Oryctolagus cuniculus: one gene and its partners. The protein of the gene in region 1 purifies or fractionates together with the protein of each later gene. This does not show direct contact. Links are inferred from orthologs where the notes say so. Each region holds a gene or a part of one and is shown on either strand. Other genes may lie near its edges.

Evidence for each region. Proteins that work in one complex are often made in the same cells at the same time.
Region 2: the proteins of DCAF6 (region 1) and TNNC2 purify together in Homo sapiens (affinity purification with mass spectrometry; 3 studies listed by BioGRID and IntAct, with this or other methods). This does not show direct contact. The link is inferred for Oryctolagus cuniculus from reciprocal best matches to the Homo sapiens genes DCAF6 and TNNC2.
Region 3: the proteins of DCAF6 (region 1) and CUL4B purify together in Homo sapiens (affinity purification with mass spectrometry; 6 studies listed by BioGRID and IntAct, with this or other methods). This does not show direct contact. The link is inferred for Oryctolagus cuniculus from reciprocal best matches to the Homo sapiens genes DCAF6 and CUL4B.

What each region holds. Positions count from the first base shown.
Region 1 is NC_091438.1:30,791,729-30,799,088, reverse strand, and holds the start of DCAF6 (DDB1- and CUL4-associated factor 6), read left to right. Parts: upstream 1-2,891; 5' UTR 2,892-3,235; coding exon 3,236-3,332; intron 3,333-7,360. Other genes in the region: MPC2 (mitochondrial pyruvate carrier 2), read right to left, coding at 2,028-2,136. UniProt on the Homo sapiens protein: Ligand-dependent coactivator of nuclear receptors. Enhance transcriptional activity of the nuclear receptors NR3C1 and AR. May function as a substrate receptor for CUL4-DDB1 E3 ubiquitin-protein ligase complex.
Region 2 is NC_091442.1:13,565,538-13,573,035, forward strand, and holds TNNC2 (troponin C, skeletal muscle), read left to right. Parts: upstream 1-3,154; 5' UTR 3,155-3,209; coding exon 3,210-3,212; intron 3,213-4,495; coding exon 4,496-4,547; intron 4,548-4,705; coding exon 4,706-4,849; intron 4,850-4,935; coding exon 4,936-5,050; intron 5,051-5,202; coding exon 5,203-5,339; intron 5,340-5,494; coding exon 5,495-5,526; 3' UTR 5,527-5,630; downstream 5,631-7,498. UniProt on the Homo sapiens protein: Troponin is the central regulatory protein of striated muscle contraction. Tn consists of three components: Tn-I which is the inhibitor of actomyosin ATPase, Tn-T which contains the binding site for tropomyosin and Tn-C.
Region 3 is NC_091453.1:98,286,050-98,293,647, forward strand, and holds the start of CUL4B (cullin-4B), read right to left. Parts: upstream 4,345-7,598; 5' UTR 4,256-4,344; coding exon 4,150-4,255; intron 3,499-4,149; coding exon 2,959-3,498; intron 876-2,958; coding exon 760-875; intron 1-759.

The sequences.
Region 1 (7,360 bases):
CCACTGCACCAGCCCCCAAAACATATTCTTGTTACCTGTCTAGACATAACTTGTCAGTGATAAAATAAAATCTCAAAAAAAATTTATAAATCAGTAATGTTTGAGTTCTGACCCTTAGTATTTTACCATTCCATATATATATATATATTCTGAGATTTAAAAACATTTATTAGACTCAAAGACCTCCAGCCAGAGTGGCATGGAGGGGGGCTCCAAGAGAGGAAAAAAACCCAAAGGGCCCCGAGGCACTGGGGTTTTTAAGCACAATTTTGAAGGAAAAAAACCTTGACAATGAGGTTGGAGTTCAGTTACTAGGCGGGGAGCATATCCTTTAAAAATGCCTGATAGGTGAATCTAGTCTCAAGTTTAAACAATGATTCAACAGCAAACATTGTTATGTAAAACAGTATGCAAAATCCTTAAATATTCACTCTGGACAACTACTGGAGCAATAATTAGCATTTCCTCAGATTTTACTCAATACCAATGAGTCAGCAGTTATTTTTATCATACTTCTTTATTTAAAAAATTGGAGTGCCTACAACTCTTCAGCATACATAAGTCTGCAGTGAGGAATTAACTTTTGTTGCCAGTGAAAGTGCAAGCATGACAGCCATATCACTGAACCCTTGCGAGAGAGTCCTTAAAAGGTCATAATTATCATCCCCATTTTACAGACTAGAAAACTAAGACTTGGGAATGTAAGGTCAAGGTCACATAGCCAAGACTCAAACCTAGGTCTGTTTGGTTTCTACGCCTGTGTTCCTTCTACCACACTGAAATGGGATTAAAATACCCAGACCAACCCAAGTGTGCCCAGATGAAATGCACACAATCTGCTCTTATTCTGAAAGTGGAGCAAGTGTTCCAAGCAAAAATTACAGGCAGCCACAAGCGAAGCCTTTGGACAAGAACAATGGAGACTACCTTCCCTTTCCCTATTAAGGTGTTCAGAACTGTTTCTCCTCTACCCAGAGCTTAGGAAGGTCGGAGCTAACTCCACACTATTCAGAGGACTCCGTAATGCCCTGATGATTACGAAGCAGAGCCCAATCCTCCCTCTGAAAAACCTTGGCCACAAAACACAGCACTATCCCCCCAAATCGACTGCTATATAAAAAAACTAAGAGGTAAATGAACTTCATTAATCACCATGTCCCCGTGAAGAGCCGTTTTATGGTGTATTTCGTCTTGCAGTAGGCAACATTAAGGGTTAAGCTACGGTCTGAAGGTGTAGTTCACTTCGTTATCTAACTGGAAATCAGACTTAGTAACTAGCTCAGACTCCGGAGGGCGGCTGCGGAGTCAGAGAAGCGGGGGGGACCCCGGACACCGACTGGGGACTATAGATTTACCAAGCAGGGGGGAAAGCCACTTTTGGGGAGGGGGGCACTTCCATCTTCCCATTCAAAACACAGTTTCTCGTGTGCTGAGCTTGGGGGAGACCTCAGGATACAGAGGTCTGAAATAAAGAGCCGGGTGGGCATTATTCGCTCAGCCACGGGCACCCTGTTTCCCACTGGGACAGGAGAGTGAACGCGGAGCGTGGCATTCCCGCATCCACCGCGCAGAGATCTGCCATTCCGCCCAAGGTCACACCTATGGCAAACGGGAAAGGGGACTCACGCCCGGGTCCGACCGGCACACCTGGGGGCAGACTGAGGCACGCGGGCCCACGACCTCTGCTCCGCACCCTGCGGGGCGACACTCCCACACCGCGGCGCGCGGGGCCCACGGCGGCGCGGCGAGGCGAGGCTCTCCCGCGGCTGCCGGCGTGGAGGCGGCCAGATGTGGAGGCCGGGGCCGGGCTGCAGCGGCGCCACAGAGAGAGAGGTCCGGAAGGGCGCCGCCTGCACGCCTCCCGCGGTCGGGGGAGCCGCGGGATGACAGAAGGTGAAACGCAGAGGGCGGACAGGGGCTGGCGCTGCGGGATGTCGCCAGCAGCACAGGTACCGGCGGGTCTCTGAAAGGCGCCTTTTGGAGGGAGGAGAAAAGGTCTCGTGGGGGAGCCAGGCTGGGGCCATTACCTGCCGGGTGGTTGTACAACGGTCTCAGTTTCTCGGGCAGCATCAGCTCCACTTTATCCAGGAGCCGGTGGTAGGTGGCCCGCAGGCCTCGGGCGCCGGCGGCTGACATGTCGGCCGCCGAGTGATCGCGGGCAGCCGGATGGGAGCGTTGCTGTGTCCTCGCTCCTGGCTGACAACGAAGGGCAGCTCGTCCCTCTCCCTTGCCACAGCGCCTCGCGTCCGCTTTCCACCAGGGTGCCCTTCGCCGCGGCTCGCTTGCCCCCGGGCAAACCAGCCAGCGGCCCGCGCCCGGAGAGGGCTCAGGGGGCGGAGGCTGCGGGACAGCCCGCCCAGGCCCGCCTCCTGCCCTCCGCGGAGGGAGCGGGAGGAGGAGTCATGGCAACAGGTGTCAGAGGGATTGCCTCACCGAGGCCGCCCAGCGCCCCGCCGGCAGCGCGCTTGCGCAGGAGGAGCGGCCCGCCGCGATTGGCTCGCCCCGCCGTGTGGGCGGGGCCGAGCGGGCCCCTCCGCCTTCTCCTTCCTGCCCTCGAAGCCATGTTGGAGTAGGGAAAGTGAAGCTGCACTCGCTCTCTCATGCCCCATCGCTCGGACTATTGGAGGCCCGTAGTTAAAATGGGCTTTTCGGGCCTTCCGTGCCCCAACTAAAGATGACGCCGCACATCAGCTCTTGGCTTCCTTTGACCCGAGACGCGTGAACGAGACTACACCTCCCAGCGGCTTCTTTCTCTACTGCTCTTCCATCCATAGAGAATTAAGAGCTTGGCTAGAGTGGCCTGAAGCCCCTTTTCCTGGGTGAGGGCAGCCGTGACGCACCGCGGCCTCAATCTCGGGGGTGGTCGTTATCTCGCGAGAACGGCTGGGCGGGGCGGGCGTTCACAGGAGGAGAGGGCGGAGCCCGGCCGCCGCCGCCTCCGCCTCCGCCTCCGCCTCCTGGGGGAGGGGGGCCGAGGGAGGGGACTGTTGCTGATCTCTGGATGTTCTGGGTAGTCTGAGGAGGAGAGTATGAGGGGAGCTCCGGCCCGGGCGCGGCCGGGCTTCGGGGGCTGAGGCGCCGCTGCCACCGCCGCCGCCATCTGACTCGCTGCGCCCGCGAGCCCCGGCGCGCGGATGGTGCCGGTGCGGCTCGGGTGTTGATCCGCCTGTCCCCTCCCCCCTCTTCCCCTCCCCCACGCGGTGGTCTCCCCTTCGACCCCGGCCCCGGCAGAGCCATGTCTCGGGGCGGCTCCTGCCCACACCTGTTGTGGGATGTGAGGAAAAGGTCCCTCGGGCTGGAGGACCCGTCCCGGCTGCGGAGCCGCTACCTGGGTGAGCGGGGGCCCTGGGGCGGAGGCGCCGAGGTCGCCGCCCCGCGGTGGGGGAGGGGGCGCGCCGCCGGGGCTGTTGGAGGTGGGACAGCCCCTCGGCACGGGCGCCCCCGGGGATCGGGGGTGCGGAGTGGGCCCCCCACCCCCTTAGGCGCGTGCCTCCTGCGGTCGAGCCCCCGCTTGCAAGCTGCCAGCCGCCGCCCTTGCTGGGTTTCGCTGGGGAAGCTCGGGCCGGGGGCAGACGGTAGTGGCCTGGGGAAGGGGTCGCGGTCGCTCGCGGGCTGGGACTCGGGAGCAGCCCCCGGTGGAAGCTGGCGGAGCGCAAAGTTGGCGCCTTCGCTGTTCTGCAGCGCTCTTCCCCGGCTCGGGCGGCGGGACCCAAGTTGTTGCTGCCCACGCTCCTTGCGGGCTCCCGAGGGCTTCGGCGTCGCCCGTCCTCGGACCGCCTGCTCCGGGCAGAGCCGGGCAGAGCCGCGCCGAGCGCTCCCCGCCCCCGCGCGCCTCCCGGGGCCACTTGCACTGGAGTTCGTTTCGACCGCTTTAAGGTGGTGTAGGGTTTCGCGTTCCTGTTCCCACCCCTGGAAAACACACTTGGCATTTACTGTTTCTTAGTTAAGCTTTCTAAAAACAACCTCCAATACTTGAGAGAACGCTATTCCACTTTTTCGGTGCTTGTTTTGGACAGCACGGTGCTGGGAGGATTCTGGGTCGCGCCCGAGTCGACTGGGGAGTCCAGTAGCTTCCAAATGGACTCACTTACAGTGAGGGAGTCTGTTTATTTATGTGTGTGTTTGTTTCTTTTTAAATCTGGGCATAAGGCAAACAACGTCAAATAAGATCTTTTTCTTTCCAATTTTATCACTTCTTGCTAAGTAAAAGTATTTTTTACTGTGTTTGACTTCAAAAGCGAATGGAGAATAGGAGAAAATGAAATCTCACAGCCTGCAGTTCTGTTTTGTCAGTTATTTGAGAGAAATTATCATGTAATGTAAACATCCTTTCTGGTTTGCTGAGTGACATGAGCACGTAAAAAACATGATCAAAATCCCCCTGCGCCCTTCCATTCTGATTTCACACACCTACCCTGCAGGTCATGTCTCTGTTCCCTGAATAATCTTCCAGATCTTGTCCTTTGTATTCTTAAAGCACAGAGAATGTGTGTGTGTGTGTGTGTGACACAGACCTGACCTGAAGGTGTGTGTGTGTGTGTGTGTGTGACACAGACCTGACCTGATGGGGTGTGTGTGTGTGGTGTGTGAGAGAGAGACAGACCTGACCTGATGGGGTGTGTGTGTTTGTGTGTGTGACAGACCTGACCTGATGGGGGGTGTGTGTGTGTGTGTGTGTGTGAGAGACAGACCTGACCTGATGGTGTGTGTGTGTGTGTGAGTGAGACAGACCTGACCTGATGGGGTGTGTGTGTGTGTGTGTGTGTGTGAGACAGACCTGACCTGATGGGGTGTGTGTGTGTGTGTGTGAGAGATAGACCTGACCTGATGGTGTGTGTGTGTGTGTGTGTGTGAGACAGACCTGACCTGATGGGGTGTGTGTGTGTGTGTATCAGGCCTGACCTGATGGTGTGTGTGTGTGTGACAGACCTGACCTGATGGGGTGTGTGTGTGTGTGTGTGTGTGTGTGAGAGAGACAGACCTGACCTGATGGTGTTCTGTTGTAAGCATTGCTTTGCCACTTGCTTTTTTTTTTTTAACACTACATATTAGAGATCCTTCCATGGCAGTAAAAATAGATCCAGTCTTTTTAAGTTATCACAAAGTATAGGATGATGTTTTAAAATGGAATTAAAAAATAATCTTGGTACAGATTTTTTTAAAATTTTTTAAAGATTTATTTGTTTGGCAGAGTTACAGAGGGAACATCCATCCCCAGGTAAATTCCCCAAAAGGCGAAAACTGCCAGGGCTGGGCCAGGCTGAAGCCAGGAGCCAGGAGCTGGGAACTTCTGGATCTCCCACGTGGGTTGCCAGGCCCAAGCACTTGGGCCATCTCACCCTGCTTCCCCGGTGGGTTAGCAGGGAGCTAGATCGGAAGTGGACCACCAGGGACTGGAGCTGGTGCCCATCTGAGAGGACAACACTGCAGAGGGTGCCTTAACCTGAGCGGATTTTTTAAACTAAAAGATTTTTATTATGGTGCAAAATGAAATCCATGGTATGAGGTGTCTTCAGCAACTTCATGAAAAATGCATATTATGAAAAAAGTAACATGGATTTCAAGTTTCTTGTAACAAAATAAACATTTATTTTTGACAGGTTGAGACAGATCTAGCTCCCTTCTGCTGGTTCATTCCCCAAAAGCCCACAGAAGCCCCCGCTGGGTCAGGCCAAAGCCAGGAGTGGGGATTTAATCTAGCTCCTTCTGAGTGGCAACTCTTTGACCTGTGGTCTGCGTTAGTGGGAAGCTGGAACTGGAACTGGAACCCAAGGTGCTTCCATATTGGACACTGGTGTTTTAACTACCAACTCAAATGCCTGCCCAAAGCCTGCCTTTAAAAATAAAATTTCAAGTCCAAGGATTTTAGGCAGTACACACATTTCTTTTTTAAACATTTCAACATTTACATAATGCAATTGCTAAGCATTGTTGGTTAAATGTAATCCTGATGTATTTGTTTGCATTTCTAATAATGAATTACTGCTAAATAACAATACAATTCAGATAGATGAATAGGCAGATTTTCCTGGTAATATTTGCATTTTAAATTTTTTCACCATTAGTATGCATCTTTTGGGTAGTACAGGTTGAGCACCCATAATCTTTTTTTTTAAAGATTTATTTATTTATTTGAAAGTCATTTACACAGAGAGGAGAGGCAGAGAGAGAGAGAAAGAGAGAGAGAGGTCTTCCATCTGCTGGTTCACTCCCCAATTGGCTGCAACACCTGAGCTGCACCGATCTGAAGCCAGGAGCTTCTTCCGGCTCTCCCTCATGGGTGCAGGGACCCAAGGACTTGGGCCATCTTCTACTGCCTTCCCAGGCCGTAGCAGAGAGCTGGATTGGAAGTGGAGCAACCAGGACTAGAACAAACACCCATATGGGATGCCTGCGCTTCAGGCCAGGGTGTTAACCCGCTAAACCAGCCCTGGCCCTACCCCTAATCTTTAAATCCGAAATGTTCTAGAATCTGATAGTGTGTGTGATATTGATGCTCAGAAATTTTCCTTAGATTTTGGATTAGGGATACTCAGTGGGTAAAGCATGTTCCAGAATTCGAAAAACTGAAATTGGAAACACTGTTGGTCCTAAGCATTTCAGATAAGGATGTGCAGTTCACGATTTGTAATTGATTTTACTTAAATTGATTAAATACTTTCTTTTACATCAAACAAAATTATGGTTTATAAAATATCTTTTCATGTTGTGGGAAAGGATTTGAATAGTTTGTCATTTACCAGAAAGATGTATGTGTTTACTTACAACTCTGAAATTTACAAGATTCACCCTTTCTGGTGTTATTTTGGACTAGCATGGATTTAGAAGCTAGGCTAAGGATTGTAGGCTTTATGAACCTGATCTGAATTCCAGTGTGTGTTTCTAAATTTTCTTTCAGGAACTGCCCAAGTCCAGAGTTAGAGACACCTTCCTGTATGTTTGTTGGACTTACTCTAGTACTGTAAACCGGCTTTAGAGTGGTGGTTTTGGAATTCAGTGATTGTTATATTAACTTATTAGTACACATTTCATTTCCATTCTGTAAACAGTTTTAAAAAGATACTTTTTTTTTTTTTTTTAAGATTTATTTATTCGAAAGGCAGAGTTAGAGCTTTTCCATCGACTGGTTCACTCTCCAAATGGCTCCAGTGACCAGGGCTGGACTGGGCTGGAGCCAGGGGCTTCTTGTAGGTCTTACACTTGAGGGCAAGGGCCAAAGCACTTTGGCCATCCTCTGCTGCTTTCCCAGACAACCGGAAGGTGGAGGTAGAGCAGCTGGGACACAGACCTGCTCTGCCCCAATGCCTGCTCCAGGTAAACATTCAGGATAAAAGATACTGTTACTTCAGTACATTTCCTG
Region 2 (7,498 bases), on another chromosome or scaffold:
TCAAGGCTGGGTGCACAGCCGGGGTCTGAGCCATGGGCTGGGGCAGGGGCCGTGGTGCAGCTGGAGAAGTCACCACTGCAGGTGCCCGCGATCCCTTACCGAGTGCCGGTTCCGATCCTGGTTCCTGCTAGAGCGACCTGGAAGGCGGCAGATGGTGGCTCCAGTGCTCGGGCCCCTGCCACCCACCGGGGGAGACCCGCGTGGAGTTCCAGGCTGCTGGCTTCAGCCCGGCCCAGGCCTGGCTGTGGTGAGCGTTTGGGGAAGGAACCAGCAGATGGAGATCTCTGTCTCTCTGCGTCATTCTGCCTTTCAGTTGGAGAGAGTGAATGAAGTCCTGGATTGTTAGAGCAGGAGGGAGCCTCAGGAACCTGAGGCCTGTGCCAGGCCACAGCGTCAGAACTAGGAGAGCTTCTCTTTCTCTCTCTCTCTCTCTTTTTTTTTTTTTTTTTAAATTTTTTTAAGTGCTAGACTCAAGCCTCAGCAAGGCAAATCTGAGTCTCTCTCACTCTCTTTATTTTTATTTTTATTTTTATTAATTTGACAGGTAGAGTTATAGACAATGAGAGAGAGACAGAGAGATAGGTCTTCCTTCCATTGGTTCACTCCCTAAATGGCTGCTAAGGCTGGCCAGGAGCCAGGTGCTTTCTCCTGGTCTCCCATGTGGGTGCCGGGCCCTAGCACTTGGGTCATCCTCCACTGCACTCCCGGGCCACAGCAGAGAGCTGGACTGGAAGAGGAGCAACTGGGACTAGAACCTGGCGCCCATATGGGATGCTGGTGCCACAGGCGGAGGATTAACCAAGTGAGCCACAGCGCCGACCCCTCTTTTTAAATTAAAAAAAAAAAAGATTAATGAATTTATTTACTTATTTGAAAGGGAGGGAGGGGAAGGGGGGAGAGAGAGAGAGAGAGAGAGAATCTTTCCACTGGTTCCCAGGGCCAAGCAGAAGCCAGGAACTCCATCTCTGTCTCCCACCTGGATGACAGGACCCCAAGCACTTGGGCCATCTTCCGCTGCTTTCCTGGGTGCATTAGTAGGAAACTGGATCAGAAGTGGAGAAGCGAGGGCTGGAACAGGCACTGGCTATGGATGCCGGCGGGCAAGCGGTGACTTAACCGCAGGCCTCCCCTCTAGGCCGTCTCCTGATGCGCTGTGTTCTCCAGCATTCTTGGACTCTGGGTGCATGTTTCTCCCCGAGAGATGACCGCCTACCTTCTGTGTGGGTAGCCTTGCTGGCAGGAAGCTCAATACCTCTTGAGGCCATCTTTGTCCATTAATGGTCAACCGTGACTGCTTGGAAGTTTCCTCATATTGAATCAGATGCCTTTCGGCTCACTTACTCCTATGTAAAGTCCATTTTTATTGAACACCTGCTAAGTGCCTACAGTTGAGTGCTGGGCAAGTGATGGTGATCAGCCAGGGTCTCTGGTCTGTGGAACTCAGGACAGGTGGTGATTACCAAGCATGTTCTGTGCTATGATTAGGAAATGACTGGAGACCACTGTAGACTCTCGGAGCCAGGCTGTAGGGGAAGAAGAACCCTGCAGGAAGTTTTGTCAAGGCCAAGAGCAGCAACAGCCAAGCGGACAGATGAAGAGAGGGAAAAATGAGAGCTTCTGGCAGGAAAAACAAAAACAAAAACAAAAAAAACCAGCATGGCCAGGGCTGCTGGTTTATCAAGGATGGTGTTTGGGGCAGTGTTTGAGCACTTAAGGGTGGGGAGGGGGGACGAGTTGTGATTAGAGGGGCGGATAGGAGCTTCCACGCTAAGGAGTCTGCACTTTGTCTATTTCCCTGAAGAAATGGAGGAACAAATTATGAACAAGTGATTGCTGTTCGACTCTCTGTTCTAAGAGGACCAAGTGCTTCCCGTGTGTCCCGACTGGGATCCCCTGGCTATCACCCCTCGGCCCTCTGCCTGGCTGGGGGAAGCCTTATTTAGCCCGGCCTGGCGCTGCTGAGCTTTCCTTGGGAATGTCTATGTGTAGGGGGAGGGGCGGCCCAGTTGCCACTGTCCATCTGCCCTCCTTGGTGTCCAGCCCCCATTGCCTGGCTCCCACACCGCCCTCGGTTGTCCTAGTGCTTTCTGGTGATTTCTGGTCACATGGCCATATGACCGTGAGCCTTGTCTGCTCCCCAGCACCCAGCCTAGGCTCTGGCCTCTCAGAGTGGGTGGGCTTGCCTTGGACTTCACCTGCCGGGGACCAGACTTCACTGCCCCTTTGCCTTCTGCCTAACCCACTGCCCAAGTCAGCGGATCACAGACACCCTTTTCCTGGGGCGGGGACTCTGAGAGAGCACTCTGCTTTGGATGCCTCCTCCTCCTCCGAGGGCTCCTCTATTCCTCTGGACGGTTCTCCTGGGTGGGCTCCCCCAAGTCGGGATTAACAGGAATCATCAACAGGACTACGGCTTTTATGATTCACAAAAATTAGCCCCAGTGAAATGGGGATAATAATAGCTGCTACCTCATAGGACGCACACCAGGCGAGATCCTGTGGTTGAAATGTCTGGCCCAGTGTGGCCCATCCTGGAGGTTCAACCAGTGGTGCCTAAGTACCGCTTTCCCCTCCTGAGCCCTGCCCCTCACTGTAGTTCGGAGACAGGACATTGTACTTGCCAAGCACCCACCCTGTGGGTCTGGCACAAGCTAGATGACTTAGAGACCTGAGCATCCTTCTGCCATGGTCTGACTGCCATGTCACCAATGAGGATACTGGGCTCAGAGCGGCTGCTTTACCCGCCCAAGGTCACACACCTTGCCGAGGCAGGGACCTGGACCTTGGGACTTCAAGGCTTGTGCTGTTCCCGTTCTACCATGCTGCGTCACTTGTCACTGTTCCGATCCTCCTCCTCCATCTTGGAGCCAGTGTGCTTCCTGGGGTGGGGGGTGGGGCTCTAAGGCGGCGGAGCAGGGTGGGGCCTCCTCCCAAGAATCTGGGACGTCAAGGCTTGCCACCTGCTCAGGGGCTTAAATTTCTCTGCAAGGGCCCTTGGCTAAATTAGGTAATGGGCTAGGACTCTGGGAGGGGTGGGGCTTGCTGACCCCAGGATCTGATTGGGCAGGGTATCCATTCCTGGGGAGCAGGGGGGTGGGAGGACAGGATGCCCCTACAAATCCCGGGGGCTGGAGTGGGCCACTGCGTCTGTGCGTGGTGGAGTTCAGGGGAGGCGGCTCACGGCAGGGGTGGCCCAGTGACCAGCAACCATGGTAAGGACATGAAGGGACTCTGCTCTGCTGGCTGGGGGCACTTCTAGACCTCTTTCAAGCAGATCTGGGTGTTCTGTGGGGTGGGAACTTAGATGCTTGATGGGGGGCGAGAAGGTTGTGGAACACAGGTGTTCAGAGGAAGCCTGGGAAGTCCTTTGACTTCTCTTGGTTGGGGAGGGCTGGATGTCCCAGGGATTGGTCCTGCGGCCACTGTGCTGCCCACTGCGGAGGCTTCCAGCAGTGCTAGGCACAGAGCTCCGGGAGGTCTTATCCCATCTCCTTTATGGTGGTGACAGACCCCCAGGGGCTGCAGTGAGTTCCCCAGGGAGCCAGTGGTGGGGGGTGGGGGATGGGCTGGAAGCCTGGCCAAACCCTCCTGCTGTCAGTGAGAGAAGAAAGCCAGCTCCTAGGAAGATGGGAGGCCCACAGGGCCCCACGCCAACTCCAAGAGCCCTGAGGATGACGGAAGGGGCAGGAGACAGCAGTCGGAGGGACCCCCACCTCCCCGGGAGGGGTTTTGATTTGGGACTGAGGTTCCCCCTCCAGAGATCACTTCAAGGAGTAACTGGACCCCAGAGGCCAGCTGCTGCTGCCCATGCCCTGCTAAAAATAGCCTGCCCTCCTGGCACAGGCGGAGAGGAGGGCAAGAAAGAGGGGGAGAAACAGGAGGCCCAGGGCCAGGGCCCAGAACTGCTTGTCCATCTCACCCCTGCCTCACTGCCAGCCCCAGACTAGAGCCCCCAACCCGGATGGCCTGGCCCGGATGGGTCGTGGACGGCTCATTTTCACGCCACCCTCCGCCTAGCCTGAGGGCCGTGCACTCCAATGCCTGCTTGGCACCTCCACGCATGTGCCCCTGTCAGCCGGGGGTCCCCGTGTCTGGGCTGTGGCCTGACACTTAGCTAGTGCTCAGTACTCTGGGTTGCGTCATTACTGCACCCTGGAGCGGTGCAGGTACCTTGCAAAGCCCCTTTCCCGCCTCCGATTTCATCTCAGCCCCGAAAAGCCACTGAGAGGAGACCAGGGCGTGACCTGCGGCTTCCCCAAAGTCCCCAGGGGGCAGGGTGTGTGTTGGGGGGCTGGGTTGTGCCTGACTTGGCCCTACAAGTATTGCCGAATGAGGACCTCTGACCTAATCTGGGTCTCCGCTCTTGTCAGGTGCCGTGGGGACACACAGGTGGGACAGGTTTCCTGACGGAGGAGGGCGCTACACAGGGCGGGGTCGAGGTGGGACTGGGTGAGCAGGGTGGTCCTCCTGTGCTCTGACCCTGTGTCTCCTGCAGACGGACCAGCAGGCTGAGGCCCGGTCCTACCTCAGCGAGGAGATGATCGCTGGTGAGTGCAGGGTGGGGTGAGGGTGTGTGTGCAAGGGGGCGTGTGGGAGGGTGACATGTGCCAGGGCACATGTGTGGGGTCTGGGCAGCAGTGGGGGTGGGTGTGAGCCTGGCAGGCCAGCCCACCTCACCTCAGCTCTCCCCTCCACCCCCCTGCAGAGTTCAAGGCCGCCTTCGACATGTTTGATGCTGATGGCGGTGGTGACATCAGCGTCAAGGAGTTGGGCACAGTCATGAGGATGCTGGGCCAGACACCCACCAAAGAGGAGCTGGACGCCATCATCGAGGAGGTGGATGAGGATGGTGAGCGGGCAGCCCCGCCCAGGTCAGGGCCGCGGGGGCGCGAGGTGGGCCCGGGGCGGCGCTCAGTGCCTGCCCTGCGCCCGCAGGCAGCGGCACCATCGACTTCGAGGAGTTCTTGGTCATGATGGTGCGCCAGATGAAAGAGGACGCCAAGGGCAAGAGCGAGGAGGAGCTGGCCGAGTGCTTCCGCATCTTCGACAGGTGCGCGGGGTGGGGGAGCGCGGGGCGCGCGGGGCGGGGGGGCTCTCCCACGGGCACAGCACGGGAATGCCTGGGGGGTGCGGGTGCGCGAGGGGCGCGTGCAGCGACGCCCGGGCAGCTGCTGAGCCCTGTCCCGGCCCTCGGCCCCGAAGGAACGCAGACGGCTACATCGACGCCGAGGAGCTGGCTGAGATTTTCAGGGCCTCTGGGGAGCACGTGACGGACGAGGAGATCGAATCCCTGATGAAGGACGGGGACAAGAACAACGACGGCCGCATTGACTTCGACGGTGAGCGCCCGGCAGTCGCGGGCCGGCGTCGGGGGCGTGGCAGGCCTCGGCCCCGCGGGTGGGGCTGGGCGTGGACCGAGCGGAGCCGCCCCCAGCCCCCGCGGGCGGGCGGGTGGGCAGTGCTGGCGCTGAGCCTCGCCCTTGCTTTCCTGCAGAGTTCCTGAAGATGATGGAGGGCGTGCAGTAAGGCTGGGGTCTCAGCCTCGGCCCCGCCGGCTCGTTCCCTGCCCCGCGCAGGGGGCGCGGCCCCTTCTGGCTCCGTGTCTGGAAGGAATAAAAGCAAACGTTGCCAAGCTCATGGCCTGAGTGAGGGGCGGGCCGGGGCTGCGGGGAGCGGGATGCGGCGGGGGCCACGGGGGGCTTCGGGCCGAGGGAGAGGGGGTGGAGCCCCCTGCCTGCCCCATCGCCCATGCGTTCCCGAGCCTCTGAGCGTGGGTGTCAGGCTCGCCGTCGTGGGCCGGCTCCCGGGCCGGGAGCGGGGCGACGGCAGCGTTTTCTGCGAGCCCGCTCGGTCTGGTCCGTTCTTCCAGCGCTTGCGGGGCACCCGGCGCTGGCAGCGGAGAGGGGGCAGCAGCTCCTCCCCGGGGGGCCCCCGCCACGGGCCGACCGCCGACCGCGAGAACCAGCTCCCGGGAACCTGACCGGGCCGCGCCCCCGCTGAACGTCCTGCAGGACCCCTCGGGGCCTCCAGAATCCAATCCAGATGCCTCGCTCTGGGCTCCCTCACTCCTCCCGCCGCCGCTCCTGCGTTTGCCGGCCTCTGGGCCCTTGCACGCTGCTGTTCCCGCTCCCTGCAATGCTCTTCCCCTTATGATCCTGGCAAATTCTTCAACCCACGAGGCCCAACGCGGAGACCATCTCCCCCCTTGATCCCTGCACCCACAAGCTGCAGATCTGGCTCCCATGGTGCTTTGCACACAATTCTGCATAGCAGGGATCAGGTCGTAGCTAATTGAGTGTAGTAGTTGTTGAACTTTAGAGTCAGGCTCTCTGAATTTGTATCCTCACAGTAAACGACTTGGGACCTCAGTATTTTTATCCGTAAAATGGGGCAATGATCATACTTACCTTAGAGGGTTTCAAGAACAAGTTGGTATGTGCAAGGTGCTTAGAACAGTGCCAGGCACACAGCAAGTGTTTAATTAATGCTGTCCACCATTATCCTCCTCCTCCTCCCTGAAACTCTGTCCTGTTTTTTGTCTTTTTTTTTTTTTTAAAGATTTATTTATTTGAAAGAGTTACACAGAGAGAAGGAGAGGTAGAGACAGAGAGAGGTCTTCCCTCCATTGGTTCACTCCCCAAATGGCCGCAATGGCCGGAGCTGCGTTGATCCAAAGCCAGGAGCCAGGAGCTTCTTCCGGGTCTCCTATGTGTGTGCAGGGGCCCAAGGACTTGGACCATCTTCTACTGCTTTCCCAGGCCACAGCAGAGAGCTGGATCGGAAGAGGAGCAGCCAGGACTCGAACCGGTGCCCACATGGGATACCGGCGCTTCAGGCCAGGGCGTTAACGTGCTGTGCCACAGGGCCGGCCCCTGTCCTGCTGTTTTACGCATTGCTACCTGCCACTCCCTCCATCTTGGACCTAGTCTCTGCTTTGTCCTGTTGCTGATTTCCCGGTTTGCTGTTCCAGCCAGGGTTGGTGCTGGGATTCCAGCACCGTCATGGCTGTGCCTTGTGCCTTATGCACTTGGTCTGGGTCATCCACACGGCGCATCCAGAGGCAGATGCTGCTCTTATCCCCGTTTTGCAGTTGTGGGAACTCAGGCCCAGGGAGGTGAAGTAGAGCAGCCCACAGATAACAGCCTGGATGGGGCCCAGCACAGGGACTCTGGTGCTCACCCCCCCCCCCCCCCCCACACACACATACACCCTCTGCTTCCTGTCTCCTTACCCTGCTTCATCCTCCTCTCTGTGCCCACTGGGCACTGCCCCTGGACCACCACCCCCCGAGCCACTGTCCCCTGGGCCACCATCCCCCGGGCCACAGCCCCCAGACCACCACCACCACCCGGGCCATCACCCCCCAGGCCAAACACTGGCCCCCAAGTAAGACTGCTCTGAAAACGAATCTGGTCACATCACTGTCCTGCCCAAGGCTTCATTCTTTGAATGTTGCCCTCAAGATAAGTGTCTGCACTTTAATGTGGCCTGAAACGCC
Region 3 (7,598 bases), on another chromosome or scaffold:
ACCTGGGCCATCCTCCACTGCACTCCCGGGCCACAGCAGAGAGCTGGCCTGGAAGAGGGGCAACCGGGACAGAATCCGGCGCCCCAACCGGGACTAGAACCCGGTGTGCCGGCACCGCTAGGCGGAGGATTAGCCTAGTGAGCCGCGGCGCCGGCCTAAACATTTCAAATTTAAAGACTTATTTGTAAGCAAAAAAATCTCCAAATCTGAGCCTCAGACTATACTGCTAGGCTACAACCTGCTGCTCCTATCTGGGCACAGGAGATAAGACAAACATGCAGAGCAAAAAAAAGAAAAAAAGTGGCAAAATGCTACAAATAAAGAGGTAGACTAAAGGATGTGAAGGACATCTGCATGTCTTGAGGCTTTTCTTAAAAGAGAGAAACAACTAAGCAAGAATTATCATAACAGAAGAGTGACAGGTCTCCAGAAATCACTTTGGGATCTACCCTACAAGATTCCATTATGGGTAAAAATGTCAATTATATCAACGTGTACCAAACTGAAACTTAATTAGGAGTGTCCAGGTCATACTGGTATAAGTTCAATTTATACCACTCATACTATAAGGTGGGCTTATAACCAATATGACTGTACTCAGTTTATGAGTATATGGTCTGATTGTAAAAAGGAGTGCATCAAGAAATTGTAATTAGAAAAGAGGCAAAAGTGTATTTAAGGCCCTATTTCAGAAAGTAAATCCAAATTATCTCACCTCAATTTATGTTAATGAAATCTAGTTATCACATTAATACATACCTGGTAGAGTTCTTCTAAATTGTACTTAATTGAAGTACTATTCTGAATAGCTTCCACTGCTTCTTTCAGTTTCTGCCAAGTTTCATCTGTGTAGTTTTCTGGTAATTTAGGCTTATCTAGATGATATATAAAAGGTTGGCATTAAAACAACATATAGAATATAGCAACTGAAGGTCCACAAAATACAATTACATTACTGTTTTTAAAGTAAACTGTGATCTTTATAACTATTACACTTAAATGTTAAAGCAACCACTGTATTAAGAGCTCAGTATAAAGAAACAGTATTCTAATATTTCAAATTTTATTGGTCACTTTAACTCACCTATTAAAACTGAAGGTGAGGGTTTTTTTCTCCTACTGAACGTATTGCTTCAAAAAATAAAAATTCAAGAATGACAGATAAAAAGTAACAATCCTGACCTTATTTCATCATGTGTAAAACCTAAGTCAACATGAATTTTGTACCTGAGATTTAAAATATTGTATGTCTACTATGTGCAAGGAATTTTATAAACCCCTTTACCATCCTAACAATGCCCTAGGCTAAGTATCAAAACTGAGGAATCCAAGGATGGAAAGCATTTGGTAAGTTTGCCCAAGGTCACTGTAACTAGTCAACGGCAAGTCTGGCATTCTAATCCTGGTCTTTTTGATCCCCAAATTTATGCAGAAACTACAGAAATGGAGAAAAACATTTTAACTCAGGTTTTAAACTACATTTATGAGTAGAATGAAATTTTAAAAGAAATTCAAATATCCAAATGACTCCAGAAACTATGCAGCATTTTCTAAATAGAAAGAAACACTGAAATGCTAGGCTTTTACACTTCACTGGCCATCAATGAGTGGAAAAAAACTTTTAATTAAAGCATTGAAATGCCTTAATAATGTGTTTTAATTTTTTTGGAGGAAGAAAAAAACAAAATTTCTTAAATCAATTTTCAGAAGCAATTAGGATCACAGCTCACTTCTTATAAAAATCTTGGCTATTAAGCAAAATATTTCAGCTAAATAATGAACACATTAGTCAATTACAATTCATATTCACTTCAGAAAGCAGAAAGCTTTACTCTTAAGTCAGAATATAACACTCTTCAAGAGTCTGCAAATGGGAGAGAAGTGATATAAAAAGAAAGGGTTAAAAATAAACAACACCATATCTCTCTGCTTGAAATAAAAGAGTATATTCTTTATTTTTACACTAATGTTGAAAATACAGATAGTGAACACCTAATTTTTCCGATACTAGTATTAAGCCCCAAGGCACTTATGCAGTAAATATTACTTAAGTTCATTCATTTACTTCTCCATTTAATAATCATTTTTGCACTTATTACCTGCCAGTTAAAGGTGTTGAATAAGTGAGCCAGAAAAATAGAACACATTCAACAGATACAAATTAATTCAGCTGAATACATTTTTTTTAAAACTTGATTTTGTATTAGCATCAATGCGTTCATAATACTTTCAATCACCTATCAAAGACAATATTAACAAATTTTCCTAAAAGCTTTAGGGCAATACTTTAAAACTCGTTTTAGTGATAAAAAAAATAGATGTAGTAACTGTACCTATCTTTAGACTAGTGGTACACAGAGTTACAACTTCTGTGTATACCCAGTATTTTTCAATTCTAACCCCTATCTTTGGTAAGATATGTAGAGACCATAAATATTTTCTCTGAATACTGCTTCTGCAATGAGTTTCATAAATACAGTATTCAACAATCTAAGTCCTATTTGAGCATGGAAAGATCACCATTGCTACCTGCTTTTCTGGGGACTGGATAATGTGGCCTACTGAAGCACAAAAATACAAATCCCAGCAGTGCCAAGGCTCACTATGCACCTGAAATAAACAAACCTCTTTAGAACATAAATTTCTCACCTGTAAAATCCGGATCAATCATACTGTAGATACCCAATGTTATAAGGGACAACAAATTAAATATAACAGGTTGAGGAAAACCTCAAAATACTGCACAGAAACACGGGGTGTATGCCTCAGCACAAGGTTCCTAACCACCCCCCTGGCAAATGAACCCTCCACCAAAAAAAGGACCTCCCCTCCACCTCATTAATTACGCATAAAACATTAGCTACCTCTATGCTCTTTAATATAGTAACATAAATAGAGCACGTGACCGCTGAAGTGTCAAATCTTTAGTAGGTGATTATGAATTTTGGCTTTGGTTACCTTTAAAGTTCTTGATCACTAACTTCTTAGCAGAGCCAGGCTTGCTGTTAGCAAAGCTAGAGACGGTGGTAGATTTGGCTAGGCCGTTTGCATGATGCACCGAAGCCACAGAAGAGATTAATATACTCTTATTTTTAAGTTGCTGCTGCTGAGATGTTGCAGCAGTTGGTGAAGATGAGGAGGAGGAGGAGGAGGATTCCTCAGCCATCTTCGCATCAAACCCTACAAACTCCAGGGTGTCTTCAAAACGCAGCTTCTTCTGTATCGGTACGTGGCTGGAAGTAGCCACCGAAACCCCCAGGCAGAAGGACGAGGTTGAAGGGGATGCCGAATCCCTGGGTTGTAAAGGAGGAGTGGAAGAGGAGGAAGAGGTGGAATCAAAGTCTTCTCTCTCGTTACTACTGTTACTGCCGCTACTGCTGCTGCTGTTTAACTTTCTCTTCTTGGCAGAGGTGGGCGGAGTGGTGCTGGTATTACCATCAGTGGCAGATCTGACCTCCTGAGCAGCAGCAGCAGCTGAGGGATTGGGGGAAGAAAAACCTGTTGGAAACATGAAAATAGCGGGGTCAACAGGCAGAGGAGCATCAAAAACCTACAGTTTATATGCCTGCGTGCGTGTAGGAGAAGGTGGCAATGCTAGAGGGGGAAGGGAAGAGAGGAGAAACACAGAGGACGAGCAGGAAAGTGAAGGGGGGGCTACACCGGGGAAATGGGAGGGTTTGGGAAGGCGGATAGGCTGACACCAGGAGTGAGCAGAACGAGGGGGGAGAGTGAATGAAGCGGCAGACAGGTAAACGGCCGTGCCGTCCCCCTCCCCTGCTTTTCGAGCTCTCTCCCCCCCGTTTCTGCAGGAGCGAGTCTGAGTCTGAGGCTGTAGCTCCTCCTCCTTTTCTCCCTCTCTCTGGGAGGGGAGACGCTGTGGTGGTGGGGGGGGAGGGGGAGAAGAGACCCAGGGCTTGTTATTGTCAATAGCACAAGAGGCTAAAGATGGCGCCACTTCCGGTCACGCGGCGCCGAAGGAGGGGCGGCGTCTGTCCCCGGAGTGGGGGTTGGAGAAGAGCACCGCAGCCGCCCAGGGGGGCAGGGGAGCTGGCGCACAGCGGGATGGCGGGACAGGGGCAGCTGAAGCGCCTCAGAGGCTCGCACTACTCTGCTCCGGCTCTCGCTCCCTCTTCCCTTCCCCGGCAGTACCTCCCTCCTCCGGCCCATCGGTAACTCCCATCCCTCCGTAACGGTCCCGCGGGGAGCTTTGCGCCGCGGCGTTCTTACCGGAAGTGACTGGGCAGACACTTTTCATAGCGCCCAGCTCCCGAAGCCCCCGAGTCCGCAGGACTTGAGTGGGGGGTGGGGAGGGAGCAAAGGGGGGGAAGAGAAGTGGAGAGGGAGGAGGGGGCGGGCCTTCGAAACACCTTCGGGGCTTCTGATTGGCGCTTTATGAACGCGAGGCGGGCGGCCACGGTGGGGGGTGACGGGAGAAGGAGCGGGAAGGATCCTGAAGGGGAGGGAAGGTGGTGACGGTGAGGGGCGGGGTAAGCTAGCTGGGAAAAAGGGGGAGGCGGAAGAGGAAGGGAGAGGGAGGGAAGGAGTAAAAAGTAAGGGAAGGAGAGAATGGAAACTTTGAAAGAGATAAAGGAATTAGGAGGGGTTGCCAGGCGAAGAGACTAACCCGAAATGGAAGAAAACAAATCTTGTCATTATGCCTACTGATGTTACAATATTGTTAGAAGAAAAGGAGCTTACATAGAAAAAGAATTTGATTCAGTGTAGCTATAAATTATTTATGTCAAGGACACCACAGAGCCAAAATTGAATAGAGCCAGAGTTTTGATACTTTTCTCAATAGCGTATGTGTAAGTTCTTTTACTTCTTACCAGGAGCATTTTCTAAGATGGCTGGCCAGAGCCAAGGGTGTATTCTAAGGCAAAGAAATAGGAAGGTAGCTAAGTCCTGACCCAGTGCAATTCTTGGAACCACATGCTATCCCGACTTCATCAGCCATGAATTCAGTAATTTATAGACCAAACAAAAAGCTAAGACCTACTTCCTTTGATGAAGTCTCAGCTTCTACAGTGTTTCAAAGGAGACATTTTAGGAGAACAATATTGGCAAAAGTCATGTTTTCTACTAATGTATTCCAGGAGCAAAAACTTTAAATTTGATCGCCGATCAAACAAAACTTGATGTTTGGTTAAATTAACAATAACAAACCCTGTAAGTTCCCTAAGGTAGTTTTTAACCGTAGAACACTCTCAGGGGGAGCAAACAATAATTTTTTCAACCTGTTGATCTAACTACAGAAACTTTTAATGAACATGTATCCGGAGACTTTATGTGCCAGACACTATGCCAAGTCCCTGCCATTGAGAAGCCAGTGGGGGAAGACAGAAGGGTACTACACAAAGCTCATAAAAAAAATGGGATTAAAAGATAAATTTATTTGGGCAAACAGAAAAATTTCAAAATTCATGAATGGTTTCCACATAGTATGCATTTTCCATAAATTTTTTAAGTACTCTTCTAGTTTCAAAATTAATGTCCATAAAAGTACTTTTAACAAATGTACAAAGTGCTGTGGCAAGAGGCAAAACAAGAAATTTGAAGGAACTCTGGAAAAATCAGGGAGTTTGAGAGACACATTTGTGCTGAGTCTCAAAGTGGGAGCTGCCAATAAGACAAGGAAGAGAGTGAAAGGCATTCTGGGCAGTGGAAACATGCACAAAGCAGGGAGTTGTGAAAGGGCCTGGCATGTTTATGGAAACATGGCAACTGCAGTGAGACTGGAAAACAGGATGTCTGGTTGGGACTAAGAAAGATGAGGCTCAAAAGTGCCTAGTAAACCAAGCCAAGAATTTTGGAATCTATCCTGTAGGTTATGTTAGATAGCATGAGACAAGCAAACTGGGCTTTTAAAACAAGGGAGTGGCAAGATTATAGGAGTAGTAAAAGCAGATTGTGTGGTATGGCCTGATTGGTGAATCAGGCCATACCACATAAATCAACTTTGTAACTTTCTTTAAACACTCCCCCCCCCCCTTTTTGGTCTTGAAAAGTCCTTGTAGATTCTCCTGGAAAGGGAGTTCCTTGAGCATTATCAGCCAGTATCTTTGTACTGTTCCAGGATAGCTTGCTGAAAACAGGCTCTAAAGGAATTTTGGCCCCAGGGCCTAGGAAGGGAGGAAAAAAACCCTGAAAGGGGGCAGATGGAAGCACTTTCAAATACACCATACTGTTTTGCTGCCCAAAATGAGATGGTAAGCTTTGAAGGCCAGGGAAGGTGTCCTAAAACATTAAGCCTTTGCTGTGTCTCACATTTCAGACAATGCTGAATAACCTTGTAAATGAAAAATAGAAACTTACTGAATTGACTGTTTCACTGAATGAGGATAAAATAATGCTGTGTGTAAGGGACAAGGTTATTCTAGTTTATGTAAATTCCTTAGGTCTAGAGAAATGCTTGGTATTTTAAAATTATGAGTATCAGTGCTGAAAGGGAATGGACATAAAGATAAGAGAAAGCTGCTTTTGTCATACAAAGATAAACTTTTATACTAACTTGAGGGATATTTGAGGTCTATTTATATTCAACTACATTCTAGTAATAATGGCTCCCAATCTCACATGGTTATCTAAGCCTTCAGTCTTCTGAGTTACATCTTAGTTTTATGAGCACAAATCCTTGGCTCTTGAGCTCTGGCTCACTTGAATGGCCCAGTGGTCTAACCTACTATTTAAGTTCTCCATAAAACAGCATTGGATTTTGTGGAAAAAGTAATTTTTCTTTTTTCCTAAATGATTAATAATAATCTCCCTTTGTCATTTTACAAACTCATTTTATTTTGAACCAGGTCAATCCTCAGATAGGTAATTTTAATACTTTTACATTTTATGACACCGACCATCTTAGATTATTTCTATGCAATTTGTGAGAACTGAAATTTTGCTTTTTCTTGGGCCCTCGGGCCAATTTCTAAAGGACAAAAAAAACCTCCCATGTTACTTTGTAAAGATTTTTTACATCAAGAATCAACTATTTGTAGCTAGTTGTAAGTTTATATTCTGTACACCCAAACATTGCCAAACAATGTTAAACACATTCTCAATATTAAAATACATTTTTCAAGGTTGAACTCACTATAATCAAGATGTATAATGTGGGACACCATACAGTTATAGCCATTATCAGACTAAATCAGATTGGGCACTCAACACATGTTCCATATATAGAATCTTTCGAGCTGGCGCCGTGGCTCAATAGGCTAATCCTCCACCTTGCGGCGCCGGCACACCGGGTTCTAGTCCCGGTTGGGGCGCCGGATTCTGTCCCGGTTGCCCCTCTTCCAGGCCAGCTCTCTGCTATGGCCAGGGAGTGCAGTGGAGGACGGCCCAGGTGCTTGGGCCCTGCACCCCATGGGAGACCAGGAAAAGCACCTGGCTCCTGGCTCCTGCCAGGATCAGCGCGGTGCGCCGGCTGCAGCGGCGGCCATTGGAGGGTGAACCAGCGGCAAAGGAAGACCTTTCTCTCTCTGTCTCTCTCTCTCACTGTCCACTCTGCCTGTAAAAAAAAAAAAAAAAAAAAAAAAAAAAAAAAGAATCTTTCATCTTGTGAGTTCAACTCATACCTTAGAAACATTAATTAAACT